Linked DNA regions of Oryctolagus cuniculus. The protein of the gene in region 2 interacts with the protein of the main gene of each other region in a pairwise test. Links are inferred from orthologs where the notes say so. Each region holds a gene or a part of one and is shown on either strand. Other genes may lie near its edges. The genes, in order: BEX5, EMILIN1, IFT20, NMI, ZC2HC1C, PLAC9 and BEX3.

The links.
Region 1: the proteins of EMILIN1 (region 2) and BEX5 interact in binary tests that used the Homo sapiens proteins (3 or more experiments, as listed by UniProt). The two-hybrid records come from large-scale screens. The link is inferred for Oryctolagus cuniculus from reciprocal best matches to the Homo sapiens genes EMILIN1 and BEX5.
Region 3: the proteins of EMILIN1 (region 2) and IFT20 interact in binary tests that used the Homo sapiens proteins (3 or more experiments, as listed by UniProt). The two-hybrid records come from large-scale screens. The link is inferred for Oryctolagus cuniculus from reciprocal best matches to the Homo sapiens genes EMILIN1 and IFT20.
Region 4: the proteins of EMILIN1 (region 2) and NMI interact in binary tests that used the Homo sapiens proteins (3 or more experiments, as listed by UniProt). The two-hybrid records come from large-scale screens. The link is inferred for Oryctolagus cuniculus from reciprocal best matches to the Homo sapiens genes EMILIN1 and NMI.
Region 5: the proteins of EMILIN1 (region 2) and ZC2HC1C interact in binary tests that used the Homo sapiens proteins (3 or more experiments, as listed by UniProt). The two-hybrid records come from large-scale screens. The link is inferred for Oryctolagus cuniculus from reciprocal best matches to the Homo sapiens genes EMILIN1 and ZC2HC1C.
Region 6: the proteins of EMILIN1 (region 2) and PLAC9 interact in binary tests that used the Homo sapiens proteins (3 or more experiments, as listed by UniProt). The two-hybrid records come from large-scale screens. The link is inferred for Oryctolagus cuniculus from reciprocal best matches to the Homo sapiens genes EMILIN1 and PLAC9.
Region 7: the proteins of EMILIN1 (region 2) and BEX3 interact in binary tests that used the Homo sapiens proteins (3 or more experiments, as listed by UniProt). The two-hybrid records come from large-scale screens. The link is inferred for Oryctolagus cuniculus from reciprocal best matches to the Homo sapiens genes EMILIN1 and BEX3.

What each region holds. Positions count from the first base shown.
Region 1 is NC_091453.1:90,755,362-90,759,475, reverse strand, and holds BEX5 (protein BEX5), read right to left. Parts: upstream 2,772-4,114; 5' UTR 2,633-2,771; exon of another isoform or gene 2,629-2,632; intron 2,513-2,628; exon of another isoform or gene 2,386-2,512; intron 1,579-2,385; 5' UTR 1,518-1,578; intron 1,090-1,517; 5' UTR 1,061-1,089; coding exon 719-1,060; 3' UTR 501-718; downstream 1-500.
Region 2 is NC_091433.1:175,879,194-175,883,134, forward strand, and holds the start of EMILIN1 (EMILIN-1), read right to left. Parts: upstream 2,801-3,941; 5' UTR 2,418-2,800; coding exon 2,248-2,417; intron 1,499-2,247; coding exon 1,355-1,498; intron 913-1,354; coding exon 710-912; intron 1-709. UniProt on the Homo sapiens protein: Involved in elastic and collagen fibers formation. It is required for EFEMP2 deposition into the extracellular matrix, and collagen network assembly and cross-linking via protein-lysine 6-oxidase/LOX activity.
Region 3 is NC_091448.1:43,881,858-43,884,734, forward strand, and holds part of IFT20 (intraflagellar transport protein 20 homolog), read right to left. Parts: intron 2,216-2,877; exon of another isoform or gene 2,142-2,215; intron 1,284-2,141; exon of another isoform or gene 1,080-1,283; 5' UTR 1,049-1,079; intron 925-1,048; 5' UTR 923-924; coding exon 796-922; intron 1-795. UniProt on the Homo sapiens protein: Part of intraflagellar transport (IFT) particles involved in ciliary process assembly. May play a role in the trafficking of ciliary membrane proteins from the Golgi complex to the cilium.
Region 4 is NC_091434.1:90,607,337-90,610,836, reverse strand, and holds part of NMI (N-myc-interactor), read right to left. Parts: intron 2,246-3,500; coding exon 2,139-2,245; intron 1-2,138. UniProt on the Homo sapiens protein: Acts as a signaling pathway regulator involved in innate immune system response.
Region 5 is NC_091451.1:21,123,644-21,127,820, reverse strand, and holds the start of ZC2HC1C (zinc finger C2HC domain-containing protein 1C), read right to left. Parts: upstream 2,801-4,177; 5' UTR 2,612-2,800; intron 2,237-2,611; exon of another isoform or gene 2,099-2,236; intron 2,004-2,098; 5' UTR 1,985-2,003; coding exon 665-1,984; intron 1-664. Other genes in the region: ACYP1 (acylphosphatase-1), read left to right, coding at 3,017-3,179.
Region 6 is NC_091446.1:70,295,155-70,299,141, forward strand, and holds the start of PLAC9 (placenta-specific protein 9), read right to left. Parts: upstream 2,801-3,987; 5' UTR 2,293-2,800; coding exon 2,229-2,292; intron 1-2,228.
Region 7 is NC_091453.1:90,036,098-90,039,425, reverse strand, and holds BEX3 (protein BEX3), read right to left. Parts: upstream 1,987-3,328; 5' UTR 1,932-1,986; intron 1,930-1,931; exon of another isoform or gene 1,742-1,929; intron 1,566-1,741; 5' UTR 1,480-1,565; intron 1,116-1,479; 5' UTR 1,083-1,115; coding exon 747-1,082; 3' UTR 501-746; downstream 1-500. UniProt on the Homo sapiens protein: May be a signaling adapter molecule involved in NGFR/p75NTR-mediated apoptosis induced by NGF. Plays a role in zinc-triggered neuronal death.

The DNA.
Region 1 (4,114 bases), on a different chromosome or scaffold from region 2:
TTATGTTTTCTCCAACACATATAAAATGTATGTATTTGTTTTTTTAAAGTCAGAAAAAATAGATAATCAAGAAAAAAAGTAAAAAGTATCAATAACTATGCTACTTAGAGAAAAACACATCTTGGTTTATACAATATACTATATAGTATATTATTTTCAAAAATATATTTATTCATCTGAAAGGCAGAGAGACAGAGAGAGATTTTGTATCCCTTAGTTCACTTAACTCCCCAAATACCTGCAATAGCCAGGGATGGGCCAGGCCAAAGCCATGAATCAGAAACTCAACTCAGGTCTCCCACGTGGGTGTCAAGGACACAACTACTTCAACCGTGCTTGCTTCCTCCTACTGTGCACATTAGCAGGAGACTGGAATTGGAAAGTGGTGGGGACTTGAACCAGGATGTCCCAAGTGAAGTCTCATCTGCTAGACCAAAAACCCACTCCTGTATTATATATAGTGTAGATGTGTGTTTTTAAATGAGATAAAATGTCCATAATTGCTTTTTAAATGCTTTATTAACTTTATGATGTGAGATAAACATCTTTCCATGCAAGTTGATGACACACCCCTGCTGACAGAAACAGTTACAGACCAGGTCAAAGGAAATCTCCAATCAGCAAGTGGCAAGAGAACACCAAAAGATTCACTGTTAAGCTTACATCAAGAAAATGCTAGTTTGGAAAGCAGGGGGTTTGTTATCGTTAACCTCAGGATTCAGGGCATGAGGCAAAACTCATCATGATGATCATGGTGAGGGGGGTCCCCTATAAGGATGCGCAGACTATACCTCAACTGAAGCTCCCTAATTTTCCTCCTTAGCTCTCTCATCTCCTCCATGAACCGTTCCATGTCATCTGCTTCTCCATCTATCAAATCCATGTTATTGGCAAGCCTATCCGGCATATCTTCTCCAAAATCCTGGACAGGTGGAACCCAACCCCCTCTGATATTGCCTCCAGGCTGCTGGCCTTCCCCGCCTTCTAAAGGACGGGCTTCCTCCTCATTCTTCACTGCGGCCTGCTCTCCGACCTTGTTTTGCTTGGGAACGTTTTCCATGTTAAGGATTTTTTTCCTGTTTCTTCTTCCTAGGACATAAACAGCAAGGAGAGGGATTGAACAGTCAGCAATAATATTCAGAACTCCGTCCGCCAAAGGTTTTCCCACCTGAGAGACTTCTTGATCCTTCTAGGGGGCGCCCCAGTCCTGGCCCTGCTTCAAAGCCCACCATTTTCCCTGAAAATCCTTCCCCAGGCCACTCCCACCAAAATGTAGGACAGGGTGGTAGGCGGGGCAGCAGTTGAGAGACCATACCTCAGCTCTCAGGGATCCGGGTAAGCTCTCCAGGTACACCCCAGAACTCACTCCTTTGTTCTCTTAGCCCATCAGCAGCCACTGGCTTGCTGTTTTGCTCAGACTCCACTAGGTTACTCCTGCACTTGACTCAAGCAGGAAGACTGCGTCCCCCAGGTTTTATTTTGATCCGTACACCCGAGAGTCCCAGGCAAGTCCCTACCTGCAGTGACCACAGGCAGTTTTTCTGTCTTGAAATCTGCTGCGCCAATGGATCTGAAGCCCTGCAGATAGATATGCGATAATGGTCAGGACTGATCACTTGATCAAAGGACTGGTATTGGGAGCATCTGTTCCATTGTTGAATTGGGACTTTCCTAATCAAATATGACCAACTTCTGTTTCTCCTCCATCCTATCTTGGGGTTTCTTTTCCCAACGTGTAACAGGCTACTTCGCCGTCCAGAAATAGTGCAATCAAAAATAATTATTTACAAACAATTTTAACCTCTTTTTGAGGCTTCCTATTTTTCACTGTCTCATCCCATCAAATTGGCAATTTTTTTTTTTTTTAATTTTAGTGAAAGCAGATGGACAACTTGTGTGGCGGAGGAGTCAGAAGAGCTTTCTGGGTGGAGTCGTGGTTTATTTACAAAGGATTTCAACCTGGATATTCGTTAGGCCTCTATGGGACCCACTGCCCTCTCTCCAGAGCACTCTGCTCCCTTGCCCACCATTTTATGCATCAAGATGGACGATGGGAGAAGAGGTCTTGTGGATATAAACCAGGATCCGCTGCAATCAGAGCGCGTTACCATTCTGATCCCAGAGTCTACAAGCAGTGTCCACGTTTACACTGATCACTGATCCGCAGGGACCAGAAACAGTTTCTAGCGGCTGCCCGTAACCCTCAGTCTGCTCCGCGGCTTCTCAGATCTAATCTCCCAGCTCTGAAGCAACTACCCTCCCCGCCCCCTGCAGTCCATCATTTCTGACTCCCAAAGAATAAAAGATACCGACAATACAGGCCTGCAACCGTGACAGGGTCCGCCCTCCTCATCCCCAGGTCTCCAGTTGCGGCCTCCCACTCACCCGCGGCCCTGAAGGAATTCTGCCGCTTTCTTGCTACCTCCTCCCGTCTGCCTCTAACAGACTTTGTCCAGTCGCCCGCCTCCTAAAAGACGCCAACGCGTACGCATTCTCGATCGCGGGATCGCGGGATCGCGGGTCCCTCTTCACTTCCCAAGCCCTTCATTTCTAGCACCAAATGGGTGGGCGTTGGGGATGGGACAGCGGAACCAGCGGAACCACCCCTGCCCCCCCGACTGCACTCACCAACCTGCCAAGGATCGGTGTCAGCTTTCACCACTTTCCTCCTTCCCCGGGCAACTGGCTCGCTGGCTTTCAGGGCAACAATGAGAAGCCGCACTGCCACAAACGACTGCTAGTCCGCAACTAGGAGGAGAGAAAAATTCAGCTCCGCTCTAGACCTCGCAAGGGCCACGTCACTGTGAGCTCAGAGTCCCAATTACCATTCACACCTGCAGTGCGGCAGAAGGGTGGGGGTGTGGGTGTGGGCGGAGCTCCCTTTCTCCTCATTCCCGCCTTCACCAGGGCTACCTTAAGCTACTACCCGCCCCTCTATTTTCATTTCCTATTTAGCAATAAGACCAAAGGAGTCTTATTATTTTGTTGTTTGTGTTTGCCTTGCCGTGATTTCTGCTGGAGCTTTTAGGGACTTGTTTCTTCATATTCTATATACGCAAATGCCCACTCCTCTCCTTTTCACTGCCCAGAAAGTAACATCCCAGAATTTACCCTAACAGCCTTGCTGGTGGAGTCTCAGATTGGCCCAGCTTGGTGAGGGTGTGGTGGGGTGGGAAGCATGTGGGAGGAGGGAGAGTGAGGCTAGGAAGTGTGGAAAATAGATAAGACAGGACAGTTTAAAATGTTTACCTTAGGCGCTGGTGCTCTGGCATAGCAGGCTAAGCCTCCACCTGCTGTGTGGGCACCCCCTAAGGACACCGGTTCCGATCCAGCTCTCTGCTATGGCCTGAGAAAGCAGTAGAAGATGGCCCAAGTCCCTGGGTCCCTGCACCCACATGGGAGACCCGGAAGAAACTCCTGGCTCCTGGCTTTGGCCTGACCCAGCTCCAGCCATTTGGGGAGTGAACCAACAGATGGAAGATCTTTCTCTCTGTCTCTCCCTCTTTCTGTGACTTTACCTCTCAAACAAACAAATAAAATCTTTTTAAAAAGGTTTACTTTAATTAGTTTCCTTTTTGGAGAGCGATGTTTGTTTTAGATTGCCCATCTGCATCTACTCATAGTTTAGTTATTATCATTAGACAACATTACTGTTTTGAGTTGAAAAAAAAAAGAGATTTGACTTGCAAAACCTGGCAACTTTTTCTGCTGCTGAATCATTTTATACATAACCGTGCACTCCTGCCCTCTTTAAGGACTTTGAAATATAAACCTAAGGTTCCCCCAATTAAGAATCTGTCTGTGGATCTTTCCATAAGATGGTGCACCATGAGCTTTACTGGGAGATTTTCAAATCTTGAGAGCCTGTAACAAACTGAATATCTCTTCTAAATTGGGTGTCACTTCACTTTACAAAAATGTTTGGCTTCATCTGTAAAGTACACCCAGTGAAGTCTTTCAATAGAACAATAATTTGGGGAACTTTCACTAACAGATTAAAGCCATTGTAAAACTACAATGGTAAAATAGTATTGTACCAAAATAAACGTAGAGAAATGAACCAGAAAATTGTCAAACCCACATACAGAGAAATGCTGATAAGCTAATTGAAATA
Region 2 (3,941 bases):
GACATGGCTTCCTCACTGTGGATGAGAATGACCCTCTCTGTCTCCCGTCAAGCGGAACAAGGTGGGGTTGGCCGAGAGGCCCGTTGGCCATGCTGCGCTGGAGCTGTGACTGGGCATCACGTCCCTCCAGCACCGCGGGGACAGACAGAGGGCCCGCGGCCAGCCAGCTGGGGCTCTGGCTGCCTAGTCAGACAGTCAGCCAGAAGTTCCTGTTTCCATAATTATGGCGTGGCTATCTCGCTGGCAGGAAAGCACGGCGCATCCGGAGTGCCCCGCACACGGGGAGGAGAAGCCGTGGGAACTGCTGCATTCTGGGATCTGCAGTCTCCGGAGGCCACGGGGCGGCCTGGGCCCCAGAGTCAGGTGCAGTGCATGCTAGGACTTGTAGTCTCAGCTGTTCCCCACAGACCCAGCTCCTCAGAGGACGGTCCCCTTCCTCCACAGCTGTTCCCAACTAGGGAGGATCCTGGCCACACGTGGGCGTGCGAGAGCACTCCCCTCTCTCTGCCTTCTTTTTCTCTTGCTTTCTAGCTGTCCGCGTGCACACGCGCGCGCGCACACACACACAGCAAGGCGTGCATGGGGAGTTTCAGGGATCTCAGGAACTCCCTTCTCTCTGACTTGGAGCGCGGCTTCCCGTCGGCAGCCTGGCCCGCGCTGTCTGCTCAGGACGGCTCCCCCACCCACCCCCAGCAGCTCCCTTGCTCACCTTCTCCCCCAAGTCCGCTCAGGTGGCTGCCTGCACTGGAGCCAGAGAGGTTGGGGCGGCCAGGCCGGGGCCGAGGCTGCGGCGTGGAGGGTGCAGGGCCCTCGGCACAGTCATCGCCCCCATAGCCCTGACAGCACCTCCACTCCATCTCCGTCACTGTCTTGTAGGCCACACGGTAGCGAGGCCGGAGGAAGCTGCGGTACCTGGCAGAAGCAGAGGCGGCCTCCTCAGTGCTGCCTGTCCCGGCAGGGACCCCGGCCCCTGTCCTCGGAGCCGCTGCTGGGTCAGGCCTGCCCTCAGGCTGGGTCCTTGTAGCTGTCCCGCATGTGGCCTTGCTCAGTTGACAGCTGTCAGCTTTCTGGCCAAGGGCCAAGTCCCTGCTCTTCCTCCCCTTGCCCTGTGCTAGGACCTCGATCTCCCCCCCCCCCTTGTAGATGACCTGTCCCAGGCCACCGAAAGCTTCTGGGTGCTTGCAGGAGAGGTCAGTTTGCCCTCTGTGCCCCACCAGCCAAACTGTCGCCTCGGCGCCTCCTCTGGCTGGAGCCCAGGCCTGCCCCTTGCTATCTGCTTTGTACAAACTCCCTGAGTCAGCACCCGCCTAATGCAGCTTCCACTGAGGGCCCACCCCAAGCTCTCGGGACTCACATGACGCTTCGGGGGCACTGGGGCTGACCCCAGCCACAGGGCTGGTAGTCCGGCTTGACAAAAGTCTCCACGCCATCCTCAAGGACACAGCTCACCGTCCGCGTCACCACGTAAGCACACCAGTTCCTGCAGGCACAACCATACCTGGACCCAAGCACCAGAACACAGGTCCCGGAGGAGGCCCAGGGACGACCAGAGGGGCTGGGTCAAAAGGTCCTGAGTGGCCAGTGAGAGCCAGGGTCCCGGCAGGGGCAGGCCCCACGCCTTCCTGTGTTGCAGGAGCAGATAAAGACTTTTCAAGATGGGGAGAGGCACAGACTGGAAAAGCGCACCCCGGAGAGGTCCACTCTCGGGGCTGTGGGGTCCTGGGAGCTTCCACATCGCGCAAGTGTTGGCATCCCTTTCTGGCCCCGGCTCACTCCCAGCGTGGTAGGCTGAGTGCCAGCACTGGCCCGGCCCTGTCGGTGATCTCCTGGATGCTGGCTTCCACCCACCCCGCAGGGGAGAGGACGGGCAGGCAGGGGTCCTGCTCAGCTCAGGGTTAAGCAGAGAATAAGCCATTGATGAGCCCTGCCCCCCCGGGGGGCTGGAGTGGGGTCAGGAGGACCCAGTGCGATGGGGACAAAGGATCAGCCCGAGGATCCAGGCTGGTGTACAGCTGGCAGCCGGCAGGAAAGCCTGGCCCATGCCCCTCACACTCCCTCCGTGCCCAACTGCAGGTCCCCCCTCGGGAGGACGTGGGCGCCAATGCCCCTTAGGCGTCCACTGTTCAGGGGACCCTGGAAAAGGCCCGGCAGGAAGGCAGACCTGTGAGGGGCCACCTGGGCCTCCCCTGCCCTCCTTCCCAGGGACACCGCGTCCCGCCCGCCTCCGGCCTGGGCCCCAGAGCTTACCTGTGGCGGCTGGCAGGCCGGGGTGCGCTGGGGGCCTGGGGCCCCCCAGGGCTGAGGGCACCACCGCCCGCTGTGTAGAGGCTGTAACCTCGGGGAGGGTAGCTGGCGGCGCCCGCGGCCGCGGTCAGCAGGCAGCAGAGGCAGCAGCTCCAGAGGGTGCTGGGGGCCATGGCGGGGGCGCTCTGCGGGGCCTCAGAGGCACATCCCGGCCTGGCCGCCGGCGCACTCCGCGGGACAGCCAACTCGGTCCCGCTGCCCGGCTTCCTGCAGGCAGCCCCCAGCCGCACGCCGCCGCCTCCCGGGCTGCCTGGGCTGACCCCTCTCCCCTCCTCTCCCCTCCTCAGACTCCTTCCGCTCTCCCCTTCTCCACTCCTGAGGGGAGTCTGTTCTCAGCGCCCCGGCCCCCTCGGATGCTGCCCCTGTGCCCCCGCCCCCCGGCCACAGCTGGCCCTTCTCTCCTGATGGCCGGATCCTGGGGGTGACAGGGCTTTGCCCTTGTGGCCGGTCAGAGGCGCAAGAGCGGCTGTGGGGCGGCCGCCTCCTCTCTCCCCAGTCCCTCCCCTCCCTCCCCCTGTCTGGCTCCCGGTCCAGCCTCCCCCCACCTCTCCAACCATCGGGCGCCACATCTGCTTCTTGTTAACTCCGGGAAAGAGAGAGAGAGAAAAAAAAAAGGAAAAACAGAAATGTGGAGTTGCCGCCGGGCCTGGGGCCAGCCTCTCAGACAGGGCACACGGAGCCAGGGCCACAGCTGGGAGGAGGCGTAGACAGGGAGCAGGGGCCAGAGCCACAGCTCTCAGGGGCCAGGGCCTCCCCTGGGAGAGAGGACTTGAGGGAGGGAGGGAGCCTGGCCGGTGGGGGCGGTGAAAGAGAAAAGAGACTTGCAGGGCTCAGCCAGACACCACTCACCATGCAGTCCAGCTGCTTCTTAGTGCGCCCTGAGGCTCAGAGTGGGAAAGCCACTTGTCCAAGGTAACACAGCAAGTCAATGGTCGCGGTGAGATTAGACTCCAAGCACCTCGGTCAGTGACTGGGGAGAAAGAAGGAGAGCGGAGAGGGTTCCTGGGCCAGGGAGAAGAAAAAGGCAGGCAGGACAGGCAGTGAAGCCGGCAGAGGGAGAAAGGGACCTGGAGACAGAGCTGTCTCTGTCAAGCAATGGAGGGGCCAGGTAGGAGGAGGAAGAATGTCTTTCTTAAAGGGCCACACGAATAAGGGGCCCAGGCTGGTCTCGGTGAAGGACAGACCCTACCCCGGGTGTAAAGATTGGGACCTGTGTGTGCAGCGCCACAGGAACTCACTCCCCGACTGGAGGCAAACCTGAGCGCCTCTGTGAGAAGGCAGAAACTTGGCCACTGTGCCACAGGCACTCGCAGCATGGTGTCCCAGCCCGGGCTCTCCTGTCGTGGGCGTGCTCTGGGAGAGAGACGCCAGGGCACTAGACAGCAAGGAGACAGGAGAATGCTCTGTGCCCGGCCCAGGGGATGGCAGCAGGTGGCAAAGACCTCCCACCCCGCCCCCGCCCATGAAGGAGCAACTGAGGCTGTGTGAAGCAGGTCACCGCCCTGAGACCCAACCACCACAGGGCAGGGGCAGGGTGGGCCGAGGGCCGACGGGGTCTGGCTAAGAGGAGGGAAGGCAGCTGGCACAGCCTGAACAGTGGGGGAGAACTGAAGAACGGAGACGAGGGGAGGGGAAGG
Region 3 (2,877 bases), on a different chromosome or scaffold from region 2:
GGGAGTAAACCAGAAAATGAACTCTGTAACTATGCCTTTTTTTTTTTTTTTTTTAAACATTTGTTTATTTGAAAGAGTTACACAGAGAGAGAAGGAGAGGCAGAGAGAGAGAGAGAGTTCTTCCATCCACTGGTTTATTCCTCAGTTGGCCACAATGGCTAGAGCTGTGCCAATCCAAAGGCAGGAGCCAGGAACTTCTTCCAGGTCTCCCATGTGGGTGTAGGGGCAGGGAGCTGGATTGGAAGTGCAGCAGCCAGGACTCGAACTGCCGCCCATACAGGATGCTGGCACTGCAGGCAGTGGCTTTACCCACTATACCATAGCACTGGCCGCAATGCCTTTCAAATAAATAAGGGGGCCAACACTGTGGCACAGCAGATTAAGTAGCCACCTGCAATACCAGGATCCCTTGTGGGCACCAGTTCAAGCCCTGGCTGCTGCAAGTCATATCCAGCTCCCTGCTAATACCCAGGGGAAGCAGCAGAACTGCTGTGTGGGCCCCTGTACCCACAGAGGAAACCTGGATGGAGTTCCAAGCTCCTGGCTTTTTTTGGCCTGGCCATTTGGGGATTAAACCAGTTTCTCAACTTTCAGATATATAATAAAATCATTTAAGAGAAGAAAAAAAGCCCTCCACTCATCCCCATTTGCTTTGAGGGACACTCGGGACTAATGACTGCAAAATAGCAGGAAGACAAAGTGTGGTACATGGGAATTCAGAGGCCAGACCTAACCCCCAGCAGGGCCAGGCCGCAGCTGGGCTGGGATGGCACTGTGCCCTCCAGTGCTACTCACTGTCCACAAAGTCCTTGCACTCTTCCTTGAGCTCTATGGTCTGCTGGGTGACCTCTGGGTCCAACACTCGCAGCTTGTTCAGCTCATCAAAGTGCAGCCCTGCTTCCCCCAGGATGTCCTTGGCCATAGCTGCAAAGAAACCAGTCCCAGTCCCCAGTCAACGTTCCAGCCCCCCCTTGCCCCCAAATACCAGTGCCGTAAACCCCAATATTCCAAAGGCTCACCTTTCCCTCAGCCACCCATTGAGCCTCACCTGTTTCCCTTCCAGAGTCCCTAGAGAAGTTCTGCTTTGAAGGGGTGACAGTGACAGTCAGGAGGAGGTGTGTCACAGGAGCAAGGGTCAGGAAAGAATAAAGTCCAGGTGCTTGTCACAGGCATCGTTCACTCAACACATTTCTTGAGTGCCTACCACGTGCCCACACTGCTAGATGCTGGGGGTACAGAGCTGAATGCAACATGGCGCCTGCCCTGGAGGACACACGGTCTAGCTGGAGAAAGACACACACGGAAACTGAACAATCATACTGGGTTAAGTGCTTTACAAACACCACCGAAGAGCTGCAGGAGGCCAGGGCGGTCAAGAGCGGCTCTGCTATTAGGAGCCATGGCCATGTTGACATGTCCTCAGCTGTGTACCCAGAGATAAAGCATCCCACAGGGGCATCAGTTCAAGACCCGGCTGCTCCACTTCCGATCCAGCTCTCTGCTATAGCCTGGGAAAGCAGTGGAAGATGGCCCAAGTCTTTGGACCCCTGCACCCACATGGGAGACCCAGAAAGAGGTTCCTGGCTCCAGATGGGCGCAGCTCTGGCTGTTGCAGTCAATTAGAGAGTGAACCAGTGGATGGAAGACCTCTCTCTCTGCCTCTGAATTCAACTGTAGGTTAAGGTTGAGGTGGGCATTGTGGCAGAGTGAACTAAGCTGTTGCCCGCAATGCCACATCCCATATCAGAATACTGGTTCAGGTCCTGGCTGCTTCACTTCCAATTCAGCTCCCTGCTAATGAGCCTAGGAAGGCAGCAGCAGATGGCCCAAGTGCTTGGGCACCTGCCACCCAAGTGGGAGACCTGGATGGAGCTCTGGGCTCCTGGCTTTGGCTTGGACCAGCCCTAGGCATTATGGCCTTTGGGGGAGTGAACCAGTGAATAAAAGATAAATTTCAAATAAGTAAATCTCTTCCAAAAACATATTAGGGTCAAAAAGTTAAGAACCCAGGAGACAAATCTGACCAAAATGTATGCTAAAGGATACCATATACTTGCCTGAATTGGGAACCAAAGTCGGACTAATCTCTTTCTAGCAGGAAACACAAAAAGGAGTGAACGAAGTGTCAGCATAGAACATACCAAGGGAGGAGGCCACGGCGAGGTGCTCCGAGCGAAGAAAGCAGCACAGACTCACCGAAAGAGGCCTACGCTGCCTGGAGGGGCGGAAAGTGGAGGGAGCTGCAAGGGGGGCTAGAAGCAGGCCAGGAAGCTCCCTGGGCCAAGCCAGAGTTTGGATTATTTTATAGGCAACAGAGAATCAACAAGATGCACTCTCCCTTCCCCAGCCCCCCTGCATTCCTGGCCCAAGATGCCTCGATTCTGGGAAGGAAACTGCAAACTCACCTTCACTCTGGCTTTCAAAACACAAAACCAAAACAACATTTACAGTTGCAAAGGGGAGGCAATGCTGATCACATCTAGCTAATTCCAAAACCCGGGTCATCCAGAGGCTACCCACAACTGGCCCTGCGCCAGCCCCAGCCCTCTCTCCCTCAGCCTCCCGTTTCCCCTCCCACCTGCCTTAGCTCCCTCCTGAGTGGGGTGATTCTGGGAGTGAGCACCCCAAGGTGTGCCATGGGAGGAGCAATGGTCGGGAAAGAACAGGTCTCACTGGGGCCAGAACTTCTGAATTCCAGAAGGAACAGCAATCTGATACCTAAGCATCAAAAATTGTAAGGAGCAATGCAGTCCAATGCAGCGGGCCAGCCACGGCTGCCTGCACGACCCTGGCCTCGCGAATCCACTGAAACCTTGTATTTGTTTTTATTCAAAAGCCAAGAGATAAATGGAGAGAGAGCTTCCATCTGCTCTGGTA
Region 4 (3,500 bases), on a different chromosome or scaffold from region 2:
AAGATAGGCACGAACCAACACTAATAAGTCTCCCCCACAATAAGGCAATGAGAAGGCTTGGATTCGGTTTGCCTGATAGGTCTTGTAAGTCCCCTGCAGGCAGAGCAGAGCATGCGCTGCAGGGCACCGAACACAGGCACGCATCAGCGCCTAAAAACCTCCTCACAATGGCAAAGAGAGGACCCGGATTCGGTTTTCCTGATTGATAGGACTTGTAAGAGCCTGTGGCAACTCTAGCAAGTAGAGCAGAGTGTGTGCCGCGGGACACCGAAGACAGGCGCGTATCAACGCCAAAAATAAAAAGAAAGGGGGATCTGTGGGGAGCAAACCGGACTAGACTGTTACTGGAATTAAGACTTATTCTATGCATCTGCTCTCCCACAATATGGCGCTGGGAGAGAAGTAAACAGCTTCCGCACAGCTGCCTCCAGTTCAACCAATTAACTGTAGGACTTGCTCCTGATTGGAGAGCAGCGTACTCGGCGTGTGGGCAGCCGAGTTGGGATTGGCGGAGGAGGACTATAAAGGAGGAGAGAGACGGCATGCACCGGGAACATCTATGGGGAACATCTAGCTGAAGGAACACCTGTGCAGCCCCCGAGTAGAGCCGGCTGGCGGTGTGCCGCTCCCCTGCGGAAGGTGGGGAATGTGGCCAGGGGGAACTGCCCTTCCACGGAGGTGGAAGGGATAGTAGCCAACCCGGGAAGAACCAGCAGCAAACCCGGGGAGGGCCGAGCAGACGAAAGAACAGCGCAGGGTCCTGTGTTGCTCCTCCACGAAGAGGGGGAGCGACACAATGAGTAGACATATGAGAGAAATGAACATATGTCTCCACCTTAAAAATAAAGGTCATGCCATCATGTTGAATTTTCCGCTCAAAAAACTGTATGACTAGGGCTGGCACTGTGGTGTAGAAAGTTAAGCCTCTGCCTGTAGTGCCGGCATCCCTTATGGGCACCAATTTGAGTCCTAACTGCTCCACTTCTGATACAGCTCTCTGCTAACATCCTGGGAAAGCGACAGTGGACAGCCAAGTGCTTGGGGTCCTGCAACCACATGGGAGAAACAGAAGAAACCCCTGGCTCCTAGTTTCGGGCTGGCCCAGCCAGAGCCATTGTAGCCATTTGGGGAATGAACCAGCAGATGGGAGGTTTCTCCACGCCCCCCCCCCCCGCCCTTATTTCTGTGTCTCTACCATTCAAATAAATAAATAAATCTTTTTTTTTTTTTTTTTTTGACAGGCAGAGTTAGACAGTGAGAGAGAGACACAGGTAGAGTTGTAGACAGTGAGAGAGAGACAGAGAGAAAGGTCTTCCTTCCGTTGGTTCACTCCCCTAATGGCCGCCACAGCCGGCACTGCGCCGATCCGAAGCCAGGAGCCAGGAGCTTCTTCTGGGTCTCCCATGCGGGTGCAGGGACCCAAGCACTTGGGCCATTTTCCGCTGCCCTCCCGGGCCACAGCAGAGAGCTGGACTGGAAGAGGAGTAACCGGAACTAGTACCTGCGCCCTAACCGGGACAAGAACCCGGGTGCCAGCGCTGCAGGCGGAGGATTAGCCAAGTGAGCTATGGCGCCGGCCAAATAAATCTTTAAAAAAAAAAAAAAAACTGTATAATGAAGATGGGCTTTTGGTAGAGCAGTTAAGTTGCCTCTTGGGATGCTCCATCCCATTATCAGAGTGCCTGGTTCCAGTGCTGGCCCATCTGTGTCTGGTCCATCCTCCTCCTAATGCACACCCTGGGAGACAGCAGACAAGGCTGAAGTACTTGGGTTCCTGCCATCCAAACAAGGGACCTGGATAGAGTTTCCAGCTCCTGGTTTCGATCTGGCCCGGCTCTGGCTATTGAGGGCATTTGGGGGAGTGAATCAGTGTATGGAATATCTCTTTGTCTTTCAAGTAAAATGAAAATAAATAAATATATTTTAAAATAAAAATCAGTACAATAAATAAGACACAGATTTATATTAAAAGTCTTTAAGAAGACAAATTCATTCTGTATCAAGCAAAAATGAAGTCACTATTTTGATGTTCCCAGCTGATAACATTCAAATAGTAACAGATACAAATTTTTCTTTATTTTTTGTGGGGTGGGCTTGGGCAGTGAGTTCTCCAACTGAAAGAAAAGAAGTGACTTTACCTGATACTTTTTCAAATGTGTTTCCATGTATGGAGAAACCATCACTCTATGGCACTTCAGATTTGTGTAAAGAGGATAATCTTTCCTTTCCAAAATCCTGTCAGCAACTAAAAGTAAATAAAAAGAAATGGTTCTCTTTAGTATCACAAACATTTAATCAAATTAAAACTTCCTACAAGAGATCAGCATTGTGGCACAGCAAGTTAAGCCTCCACCTGCAATGCAAGGCATCCAATATGGGCACTGGTTCAAGTCCCAGCTGCTCCACTTCTGATCCAGCTCCCTGCTAATGTGCTTGGGAAAGCAGTGGAAGATGGCCCAAGTGCTTGGGCCCCTGAACCCACATAGGAGACCCAGATAAAACTCGTGGCTCCTGGCTTCAGCCTTGCCCAGTCCTGGCCATTGCAGATATTTGGAGCATCAAATGGAAGAATGGAAGGTAGCTAGCGCTCGCTCTCGCTCTCTCTCTCTCTCTCTCTCTCTCCCTCTCTCTCTGTAACTCTATGAACAAAAAAAAAAAAAAAAAAAAAAAAAAAAAGTCCTGCAAACAGAACAATACTGCAGTGAACACTACAACATGATTGTTCACTTTTGTAAAGATTTATTTATTTAGTTAGCTAGTTAGTTAGTTAGTTATTTGAAAGGCAGAGTTACAGAGACACAGAGAGACCCAGAGAGAAAAAGGGATCTCCATCTGCTGCTTCACTCCCTAGATGGCCATAATGGCTGGGACTGGTCCAGGACAAAGCCAGGAGCTCGGAACGCCATCCAGAGCTCCCACATAGGTGGTAACAGCCTAAGCACGAGGGCACTATCAGGGAGCTGGATCAGAAGCAGAGCAGCCGGGACTCAAATCAGTGTTCCACAATAGGGTGCCAGAATCACAGGTGGCAGCTTAACTCTCTACACTACAACACAGGCCCCTCAGTGATTAATTTCTAAAGAATTATACACTCCATTTTGAAGACTCAAGCACATAGTTTTTAAAAATAAAAAAAAATAGTTTTAAATGCTTCTTTTTCTCTTAAACTATCCACTGCAACCAACAATATTCAGAGGGCAGTAACATCCTTAACAAGACCTACTCTGAGCTGCGTAAAACATAAAAATCAGCTGCAGAAATTCATCCAATCATTCTAACAAGACTAGAATGTTTCCTAGTTTCTCAAGAAGTATAAATGAAAACGATGATTAGAGTATCATATACAAGGAGTCTTTAAAAGTTCACAGAAAATGCATATACGGAAAAACCATGTATGGTTTTCAAAAATTTTTTGAACCAAAAGAAACTTTCAGTTCCATTTTCCATTGCATACATGTGTGTTATAAATTGTAAATATATTTAAATATAATAATATACTC
Region 5 (4,177 bases), on a different chromosome or scaffold from region 2:
GACGGCACAAGTGCTTGGGCCCCTGCAACCATGTGGCAGACCTGGAAGAAGCTCCTGGCTCCTGGCTTTGGATCAGCACAGCTCCGGCCATTGGGGCCAATTGGGGAGTGAACCATCAGATGGAAGACCTCTCTCTCTCTCTGTGTAACTCTTTTGAATAAATAAATAAATCTTTAAAAAAAAAATGTTCATGGGCCTGGCACCGTGGCGTAGCAGGTAAAGCCACCACCTGCAGTGCTGGCATCCCATATGGGCGCTGGTTCAAGTCCCGGCTGCTCCACTTCCGATCCAACTCTCTGCTATGGCCTGGGAAAGCAGTAGAAGATGGCCCAAGTCCTTGGGCACCTGCACCCATGTGGGAAACCGGGAAGAAGCTCCTGGCTCCGAGCTTCGGATTGGCACAGCTCCGGCCGTTGCAGCCAACTGGGGAGTGAACCAGCGGATGGAAGACCTCTCTCTCTCTCTCTGCCTCTCCTCCTCTCTGTGTAACTCTGACCTTCAAGTAAATAAGAAATCAAATCTTTATAAAAACCAATGTTCTTTTTCATCTTTTTTTTTTTTTTTTTTTTTACATAACCCATGTTCCCTAAAGAAAGCTGGTGAGGACACCAGAGGCCCTTACAACATTCTCCACACAAAGTCAAATCCACACGGCCCTTGTTACCTTGACCGAGGCTGGCCCCTTCCAGTTCAAGTACTGCTCCAGTTCTGTGCCCTTGGCCCGGGCCCTGGAGGAGTCAAACACCTTCCTCCTGGAGCCCTGCACCCTGCTGCAGACGTTGGAGTGTCGCTCCAGCCTCAGCAGGAGAAACGTGCGTCCACAGTGGCTGCACTGGCCCAGTTCCGGCTCTTCAGAACAGCTGGAACCCGAAGAGCCCGGTGCCCTGCACAGGCCGGAATCCGTACCGAGCCCCTGGAAAGCACCGTCCGGCGCTTCCGAAGACTGAGAGACCTTCTCCGTGGATGGCCCCGAGACCCCATCTTTGATTTTGTTACTGTTTGCCGCCAGCCTCTCCCTTTCCAGCTCCTGGACTCCATGATCAGAGAACTGGCATAGACCAGCATTTTCTCGAGACCGCCTCCAAGTTCCATCCTCTCTTCTGTCACTCCTGGGCGCCTCCTTGGACCTAAATCCTGGGGGGAAGACGGGCTTGCACGCGGGGTGGCTGGCACCACCGTCCGCTCTCCCCCGGGAGAGAGCCATTCTCCGGAGCGCTCTGTGTGCGTTCCCCTCGGCCTCCTCCTTGCCCCTCTGGATCCTCCTGAGCTCCTCCTCCGTCCTCTTCAGCTTGTTCCGCAGGACGATCTCCTTTCTCCGGATTTCCTCCTCTAAGCTCTCCCCCAGGGCTTCCAGTCTCTGGATCTGCACCCACTCAGACCTGGTGAGGTTTGCCACGGCCCTCTCGCCCTGCATGGCGGCAAGGACGGCACCAACCACAGAGGGGTTCACCGTGCTCCTTGGCGTGAAGTTGCTGTGTGGAAGCTCTCTCGGCTCAGAGGCGCTCACGTAGACACTCTGGTTCCCAGCGGGGCCAGCCTGCCCTGTACTGCGAGACTTCCGGTGGACCATGGGTTTCAGCGGGTACGCCCGATCCACCCCAACTCCCTTCTTTGTGAAGGGACCTAAGTATGGGTTATTTGCTTTGGGATGCCAGGACGGAGGGCCCGATGCAGCGAACCAACCTTGTCCTTGGCCCTGGGGCCCGCTGCCTGACTCAGCATCAGCACAGCTAGGGGAGCTGCCCCCGGCTTTGGAGCGCGTGTTCTGGTTGGGCGGGGTGTAGACGTTCTCCCGCGTCAGCTCTCTGCTGCTCAAAAGCCTCTCCCGGACATTGTTCCTCCGATGCCCCACAGAGGACGGCTGCGCGGTGTCACCTTGTTCATAAGGGTCTCGCCGGGCGGAGTGGAGCCCCGCAGCCTCTGTTTTATTATGTGGGAACATAACGCCCACAGGCAGATATGGAGCCAACTGGAGGTCAGCCATTCAGGGCCTGGATGGAAGCCTACGGGGAGAGTCAAACCAGATCCATGTGCTGAGTTTGTCTGAGGCTCACCCCCGGCTGCTAAAGTAAACTGTTGCTACATCTGCCCTACTCACATTTCCCTCCAGCTTCGCTAGGGACATGGCGCTGGGTGTGCCAGAGCTCTCCAATGCGCATTCGCAGTGAGTGGTGACCACCCGCTCTGTTAGGTCCCGAGGGTGGAAAGACACAGTGACCCGGTACCAGCCCCCGCCATCTGCACTCTACTCGCCCGCCAGCAGGCGAAGCCAGCGCTGGATGGAGGGAGAGGTGTTAGGCTTGGGGAACACAGTCTCTCCACCTGTGAACTGAAGGGTTCACTCCAGGCCCACCATCTTACAGGTGACAAAACCAAGCCAACCCCGTTCAAAGAGTCACCGTGGCGCAGACGCCGGAGGCCGCTAACCTGCGAAGAAAGGGGCTACCTGAGCCCCTTTCAGATCTGGAACCCGGAAGTTCCGTCCGGTGCCAGTCAACCCGGGCGCCCCCACTAAGGCGGGGGTTTCTGGGGACAAGCCCTCGCTCTCCTGCTCCTCGGGCCCTCGGGAGGTCGAGGTGTTCACCCCACGTCTCCCCGCCCTTCTGCGTACCTCCGGCTCTGGGGGCACCGCGGCGGCTCAGGGGAAACCCCAGGACCTGGCTTTCCAGACCCGGCCGCCCCCAACCGACGTCAGCGCAGGCGCTCTCCGCGGGCCTCGGCGATTCCCGTTGCCTGGAGACGAAAGCGCCTCGCGCGCCGAGCCCCGCCTCTCGCAGATCGCCGCCGCAGAGGCACGCGCAGGCGCAGTCCGCGCGTCTTCCTGGGCGGGCGGATGGCGGGGGGAGGGTGTTGAGAGTGGGAGGCGGGGTGCGGTCAGCCCGAGTTGTTGTCACTTGACCCAGTGTCCAGCCAACTCTGCAGCTCAGTTCAGCCCTGCCCTTGGGGAACGGGGGAGGAGGTGGGAGAGGCTTTTCTGGGGCGCCATCAAAGGAGAACTTGTATTTTTCTGAGAAGCATGCTCCCAGGCCCCGGGGTGTGCCCGTCCCTGGCAAAGGGTGGAGCCCCGCCATGTGCCCCGGAGTCATCCCACCGCAAGATCCCGGCGTCCGCCCGGTTAGCGGGAGTGGGCCTGCTGATAGCCCTTGTTAGCACGCTCGGCAGCTCTGTACGGGCCCCAGGTATGGCTGCTATCTTTCCGTGCTTTGCCTTGCCAAACTGGAGCTTGCCTTTTTTTTTTTTTTTTTTTTTTTTTTGCTACGCAGTATCTTTCCGGGGTAGATTTCGTGGCCAACCTAATTATTTTGATATTGTGATGTTTTGCTGTCACGTGGTGACCCGGACCATCTCTGCTTAGGACCTGGGAATGACTCAGCCAAATGTGATGATAATAAAGTTAGCATAACAGATTGAAAATAATCAGTATAACCTAGTTTCAACACTGAATGATGGTCTGTGACTTGTTGACATCAGAAGACAGTTTATTTGTCTTCTTCGTGCTTCAGTTCATTTGTGTAAGCTGTTTGGAACAGGCAGCTCGTTTTTTTCCCTGTAACTACTCAAAGGATTCATGCACATGGAAAATAATGTAGACAGCAGTAGTCAGCGTTAACGCTTCCACAGATCCTATTACAGCTTGTACACGGCACAAAGAAACTCTTTGGTGGGCCCCTCCAGGGCAGTCTTTTATTCCTTGTTTTCATTCCTAGTGGACTAGACTGCCTTAGTATACAAGGGGACTTCCAAAAGTTTATGGGAAATAGATTTAAAAGAGAAGTTTATTCCACTGCAAAAAATAACTGAGATCTGTGCATACCAGAGGCCTTCAAAAAGTTCTAGGAAAGGTGTATTATGAAAAAACTATGCATGTATATTTTGGACCAAAACAAACAATCTTTTTTAATTCCGTTTTTCCACAAACTTGTTAAAGTTCCGCAGCTCCAGACATTTCGCAGTTAGGTCAGCCTCTGACCTCGCCTTAATCAACTCCCACAGTTTCTCTCCAGCCTGGCTGACTTTCCCAGGGCGCCTCCCTCTCTCCTGACTTCCTTCCTTTTGTTCCGCAGGAAGAAGGGTCTCTCTCTTTCTTGAATTGGTGCCTTTCAGTACCCTCCAGGAGCTGACTCGGTCATTGTTCCCACTTCTGTCTTCATAACTTCAACTTGTGCATCTCCCTACT
Region 6 (3,987 bases), on a different chromosome or scaffold from region 2:
TGAACCAACGGAAGGAAGACCTTTCTCTCTGTCTCTCCCTCTCCCTCTCACTGTCTATAACTCTACCTTTCAATAAATAAATAAATAAATAAAATCTTTTAGAAAATTTTATAAACAAAAGTTAAGAAAAAAAAATGGATATTATCTTCAACCTGAAGGTTATACACGAAATGTGTGAATAGAGGAGTGAGCGGTGTGGTCCAGTGGTTAAGCCACTGCCTCCTGTATGGAAGTGCCAGTTTGAGTACTGGTTACTCCACTTCTGGTCCAGCTCCCTGCTGATGCTCTTGGGAAGCAACGGATGAAGGTTCAAGCACTTTATTCCTGCTACCTATGTGGGAGACCTGGATGGAATTCCAAGTTTATAGCTTCAACCCAGCGCAGTCCGGATTCTTGCAGGCCTAGGGAGTGAACCAGCTGATGGAAAATTCTCTCTTTCTCTCTCTCTCTCTCCTCCCCTCTCTCTATGTTGCTCTGCCTTTCTAATAAATAAATCTTTAAAAAGTGAACTTATATTCATGCATGTATTTATACTTTCCTCTTTATTTTTTCTTAATCTGTAGCTTCTAAACATACATAATCAGAAGAAAAAACTTAATATTTTAAAGGAAATTCACATTAAAGTGTATATACCAATTGTGGCTACAGGGGCCACAGAAAATCAGCCAGTCACAGGCTCTGCTGGGTGCCCTCAGCTCTGGGAGTGTGAGGCCGGGCAGAGAGGAGCTGGGCCAAGGAGGATTTGTACCGAGGGCCTGGGCAGGCACTCGTTGGCAGCCTTGTGATGAAACGGCTGATTCTCCTGAACAGGTGCAGAAACGGAGGCTCAGAGAGAGCCCTGGGGTTGTCCAAGAGAGCCAGCGTCCTGTGTGTGGATGCCTGCTCTTGGCCGGGCACATCCCGGGGTCAGCAGCAGGTGTGTGTCACTCCTCCTCGATGAGCCCTGCCTAGGCCCGGGGCCTTTCCTGGAGTGCCTGCCTACACAGGTCATGTGGCCCCAACAGGGACCCGGGAGGCTTCTGTCCCAGCACAGGGTCCAGCGAGGGGACAGGAGGGCTGGGTGCTTGGTGAGGGCTCTGAGCCTTCCCTCCCCTGGGCACTCGGATGAACCACGAGCACTCTCTGGCTTGCACCCTGCACAGTGCTGTGGAATGTGCAGTTCTGGGGTGACCTCTCTGTCACTGTCATCCTGTCTGTGCCTCACCTGTGCAGGGGCAGCCTGAAGACCACTGGCATGAGAAGGGGAATAAAGCACACAATGCAAAGCTTGGAACTCAGCCAGGGGCGTGTGCACACGGGGGTGGGGGGTGCTCGCCCCCTGTTTCTCCACTCAAAGCAGCTCAGCCTTCAGGAAAGCTCTCCGGCAAGCTGGATCCTGGGGCTGCGTTATGGATTAAGGTGCTGTCTGTGACGCCAGCACCCCATATCAGGACGCCGGGTTGAATCCTGGCTGCTCCACTTCCAAACAAGCTCCCTGCTAGCCTGGGAAAGCAGTCCAAGTGTTTGGGTCCCTGCCACCCACATGGGAGACCCCGATGGAGTTCCTGGCTCCTCATCGGCCTGGCCCAGCTCTGCCTGTTGCAGGCAACTGGGTAGTGAACCAGTGGATGGAAGATCTCCTTCTTTTTTCAAATAAATAAATACATCCTTTAAAGAAACAAACCTGGAATCTGACTCTGTCCCCACACGGCAGGGGCCGTCTGCCTGGCTCCAGGATGGCCGGATGGCCGTGTGGGGCCCTGCCTGGGTCACTGGCCTTGGAGCTCAGCTTCCAGTGCATCGCCCTGGAAAGCCAGGCCTGCTCCCAGCTGGCCTCAGGGCTGCCCCACCCTACAAACTTGACCTTTTACCCCTTCCTGTCTCCTTTCACCAGCAGTTTGGCACCCCCCCCCCCCCAGCTTTTCTCAACTTTCTCAATAGGTTTTTCTGAAAACATCGGTCTCCGTCTCTCTCCATTTCAATCCTTGTTTCTTGCTCTGTTGCTCTCAACTCCTTTTGCTTTCTGCCCTAACTGGTATCTGTGTTTCTCCAAAACCTCTTTCTAATCCCTTATTTCCCCTCTCCCCTGTCTCTCTCTGTGCCTCTGTTCCCCGCCGGTTCTGTCACTCCCTCCTTCCCTCCCTCCCTGCCTGGCATCTCTCTCACTCGCTCATCCCCACCTTGCCCTCGGCGGGCCTCCCGGGCTCCCAGTCCCCTGCCCGCAACGCGGGCCCGCGGCCCCTACTCACCGGCCAGAGCGCCCGCGGCGCGGAGCAGGGCGAGCCCGGCCAGCGCGCACAGCAGGGGCCGCATGATGCCGGCGGGACCGAGCGCTGCGCGCGTCTGCCAGCGACAGCCCTCCGCGGGATCGCGCCGGGCCAGCCCGGGAGGAAATGCTCCCAGCCCGAGCCAAAATTCCTGGGCGGCTCCGGGCTTTCTGGCTCGAGTGAACCCGCCCCCTCCCGAGTCCCTCCGCACCCCGGGAGCAGCGCGGAGCCCAGAGACCCCCCGCGGGCGGAGGGGCAGTCATGCTGGACTGGGAGCGTTCCCAGGCAGCGGCTGCACTGCCGGGGCCCCGGGCGCGGGGTGCAGGGCGCAAGGGGAGGCTGGGCGGCAGCTCCGGGGTTCAGGCAGTCGCTGTGAGCTCCTTGCACAGAGGGGTAGACTGAGTCCCGCTGTCACCCACAGCTGTGGCACAGGCGCCAAAGCCCTCCCCCCCCCCCCCCAGGTGCGAAGAAGCTTTTCTCCACGAGGAACAAGAAAGGGCTCCGATGGCCTCAGACAGCGTCTGTGGGATCGCAGGCTTGCTGTTGGGTCTTCTGTAGGAAGTCCTTCTTCCGGGAAAGAAGGGACAGTGATGTGAAAAGATGCTTTTCCAAAAAAACGTTAAATCAGGACTCACACAGATATAAAATGAGCAGGAGCTAAAGATTTTATCGAACTCATTAATAAGGGATGCACCCTAGAAAGTCACTATCAGTCCAAAAAACAGACACAGATCTGTAATATTTTTCTTTCTTTATTTTTATTTTTTTGACAGGCAGAGTGGACAGTGAGAGAGAGAGACAGAGAGAAAGTGAAAAGTTAAAATTGTATATGTGCGGGTGTAAAAAGTTAAGCTTACAGGTTATAACATTCCTGGTACAGCTGTAAAAATAAGACAGAGTGAAGTAGCACCTTGACAGTAGGGACTCCATTTTGGAGCACTTGAGACTCCATTCTGAGAAAGCACCCCCCCACCGTGAGACTCTGGTCTGAAACTATGATCTCAAATAGTCGGACAATAGCAGTGCACTACATCACCCTTGGCAGAGCACAAAAACCCCCTAGCATGATTGCTCAAGTGGCACCTGGGTTACCTGGGCTAATAATAAAGATGTGATTTGTCTGTGTCTTACATTAATGTCAAGTCCTAATTGCTAATTGTAATCTTGTAACTGGTATTGTCAAGATTATGATGAATATTAATTTCACTTAGGTTTTAGGTTATGTTGACCCCAGTAACCATATACTCTCTTTTGATTTTATATACTCTCTTTTGATTTTAGCAACTGTGTATAGCAACCATGCATAGCAACCATGTATTTCCCCCCTTCCTGGTTTTGCGGTTTTTGCCTTTATAAACCCTAACCTTTGGTTATTCGGGGCTGCTCTGCTCATGTATGATCGGACAGCCCCAGCATGCTGGATAATCAATAAATCTTTAACCCTTTGCTGGTTGCATGAGAGAAAGGTCTCTTGGAGTCGTTCCTCGCGTGGTGGGCTTTTTCAGACTCTAACAAAAGATCTTCCTTTTTTTTTTTCCCCGTTGGTTCACCCCCCAATGGCCGTGCTGATCCGAAGGCAGGAGCCAGGTGCTTCTCCTGGTCTCCCATGGGGTGCAGGGCCCAAGCACTTGGGCCATCCTCCACTGCCTTCTCAGGCCACAGCAGAGAGCTGAACTGGAAGAGGAGCAACCGGGACAGAACCCGGCGCCCCAACCGGGACTAGAACCCGGTGTGTTGGCAC
Region 7 (3,328 bases), on a different chromosome or scaffold from region 2:
ATGGAATAGGAGAACCCACATATTTTTGCTTTCTGTACTTGTGAAAATGGGTGAGAACTCCTTCCAGTCCTCCCAAAGTATGCGAAAGGAGCCTATTAAATGCTGGGAGTTAAAGAGGAGCCAGCCCAACAGTTTCATCCCTCATCTGGTCCACTTAGCAGCCCTGTAAGATAAGCATTGTTCCTCATTTCACAGGACTCTAAAGTAATGTAACTATAATGAAGGGAGGAATTATTCAGTTAAGACTGGAAAATATCAAGGTTTACTCTTCTTTAGGTCTGTTGAGCCAGTAATTGTTATGTACCTGCATTTTATTCAGATACTCGTTGAAAAATCATTTCCATTGCTTCTCAAACTCCAGATAAAAAGAGGAAAAGTCACACAATATCTCGCCACACAGAAATGCATCCCAGTGAACACTTTGCTGTGTTTCATTTCATACTTTTGGCTCCTGTTTTATGAGTCTATACTCTTCAATGAGACAATAATAAATATCTAGATTGCTTTTCAATTGCTTTATTAACTTTACATTTTTCCATGCAAATGGATGAAACTCTACTCTGACAGAAACTTAGTCTGGGTGCAGATGCAATTTTCAATTAGAAGCTGGCAACACAAGACCCACTTGACACATGGAAATAACATAAGGTTCACAGCAAATGGATCCATAAAGGCATGTTGGGAAAATGCAAGGAAAAGGAAATCAATGGGAATCACAGTATTAATCTCACGGAAAAGGGCAGAAGTCAAGGCATAAGGCAAAATTCATCATGATGGTCATGGTGATTGGAGAGCTCCCCCATAAGGATACGCAAACAATTCCTCAGCTGCAACTCCCTAAGTTTTCTCCTGATTTCTCTCATCTCCTCCATGAACATTTCCATATCATCCCCATCTCCACCCATCCCATCATTGCCCTGCCTATTGGGTATGGCCCATCGAAAATTAGGGGCAAGTCGGCGAGCCTGTCCCCGTCTGTTATTTCCTGCAGGCTGGTGGCCTTCACCTCCTCCCAAAGGGCGGTCTTCTCCATTCGGCATGGGCTGCTCCATTGGTTCGTTTTCCTGGTGGATATTTGCCATGGTGAATTGAATTTTTTTTTTCTGGCTGTGTTTCTTTGGACACAAGTAAAGGGTGAGGAGAGACTGAATGCGTGGTGCACTGACCAGCAGGATTCAGAGCCCTGACACCACAGGTTTAATTTTTCCCACCTTCGACGCTTCGTGCGCCCTCTAGGGGGCCTCCAATGCGAGCCCCTCCCTCTAGCTCTCTCTCCTCCTCCTCCCCTCATCCCCCATCCCCTCCAAAGCCCACCATTTTTCTTTTCCCAGGATTCTTTCCCAGAGCTCTGCAGGCACCAAAATGGAGGACAGGGACAGGGAGGGGGAGGGGGCACGGGTCGCTGGAGGGGTCTGGGGTCCCAGATAGGGTTTCCGCACGCTCCTCCCCGCCGCCCCCACCCCGGTCTGTCCCACCGACCTGGGCCTATCCTTGCGGTCTCCTCCTCCTCCCGATTCTCGCCGCCGGCGCGCCGCCGCGACACTCAGCGCCTCAGACCTGCAGACCTGCAGACGGCGGGGTCGGGGAGAGGGGGCGGCTGCAGGCGAGCGCTCGGCACCGCTACGCCCCCCCTCCCCGCCCCCTGCCGGCCCCTTCCCGCCGCCCTGGCCCCCGCGCCTCCGTCCAGGCCCTCAGCGGCCGCGTCCCTCCGCAGAGCCGCCCCGCCCCCTCCGGTGTTCACCGTTTTCCCGCAGCGTCCCGGGGCGGGGGGACTTCCTCTGGCTCCTGCCTGCTCTGCTGCTCTCCCCTCCAGCACCCCAGCCGCCCCTGCACCCCTACTCCTGGGGGCCACTGTATAAACAGAAAGCGGCGGGGCCCGCTGCGCTGTTCTCCTCGCCCGCCGCTGCCGCCCTGGCCGCCGGGGCCCTCACCTGCTCCGCTCTGCCCGGGCCCGATGCCAGCCCGCCGAGCGCAGGGCAGCGGGGAGCTGGTAGCCAGACGCGAGTGACGACTGCACCCGAGGCTGCGTCCCTCTGCAGCTCGGGGTCACGTGACGGCCGCGCGTCACCGCCGCGCTCGCCCCCGACTCCAGCGGCCAGTGTTGCTGAGCCCCCCGCCCCCAGCAGCCACAAGCACACGCATCCTTTACCCACCCCCCGCCCCCGAAACACTCACACCGCCTATCTTTGTGCGGTGGTGCCCCGATGTACACCGCCCTGTCACTCATCTCCATACTCTCCAATCTGAGGGCCTACAAGTGGCATCATCGCCTTATGGTTGGAATTTGCTCGCTGCTGGTTTCTAAGGAAGTTCTGTATTATCTTCCATCACCCGCATTCCCACCTCACTGCATTCTTGGTTTTGACCTTTTCTGCTTTCTCTCCTTTCTCCTTGGCTTTGAACTTTCCCCTGTGCCCTCTCTCCCCATCTTGCCCTTTCAGTCACCAATGCCCACCTAGCCGCTAAGTCTTACCCTGCTAGGAAGTTTAGAATAAGGACTGAGTTGAAGAGGCAGAAGGGGACTCGTCAGAAAGGGAGATGAGGAAGGGGAATGGGCTGTGTATACTTTTCTATTTCCTTTTTTTTTTAAGTAGCATGCCTCAGAAAATTAGAAATAACCAGTTTTCATTTTTGAAAGAAATGCTTCATCCTGCAGAATGAAAAAGCCTCATTGTTTATGTAGACCTGTACCACACAGAAAATATTTTCTCTGGGCTCCACACAACATTAACATCACTTTGGAAACATACTGTACTGCTGGCCTGTTGCAAAATTTTGTTTGGAAAAAGGAGGGACCCTTCCTGAATACAGCTGGTGTTTGCAATGTAATCTGTAAAGTAAATCTTCAGAGAGAAGTCTGGTTGTCAGACTTAGGGCATTTTATAAAACTTTGTGTGATGGTTTTGATACCCCCAGGCATCAGAGTAAAGGAGCCTTTTTATTCCCTGCCTTCCTTTCCAAACTTTCCAAACCACCCTGACAAATATTTTCTTAGAAGGAGCTCAGAAGTTAAGTCTCTAATAGTCAGAAATTAGACTCAAAGCCATCTACTTTTTGATGTCTTTCAAAAATATTAGAAATAAACCGGGGTTGTGTGTGCAGTGACTAAAGACTGAAACTCATCCCAAGTACAAACGTTCTGTTCTTCAACTTGAAATCCTTTTTTAAACAGTTATCACAGCTAGAGAGATAACATAAAGAAAGGGGCATTGTTATGAAAAAGTATTTAGTAGTTGTTGATTGTGATAAAAAAAAAAGGAAATCATCATATACTGCCCTAAGACAAGACAGACCAGACAAATGCTTTACTGCCTCTGGTTTGGGCCCC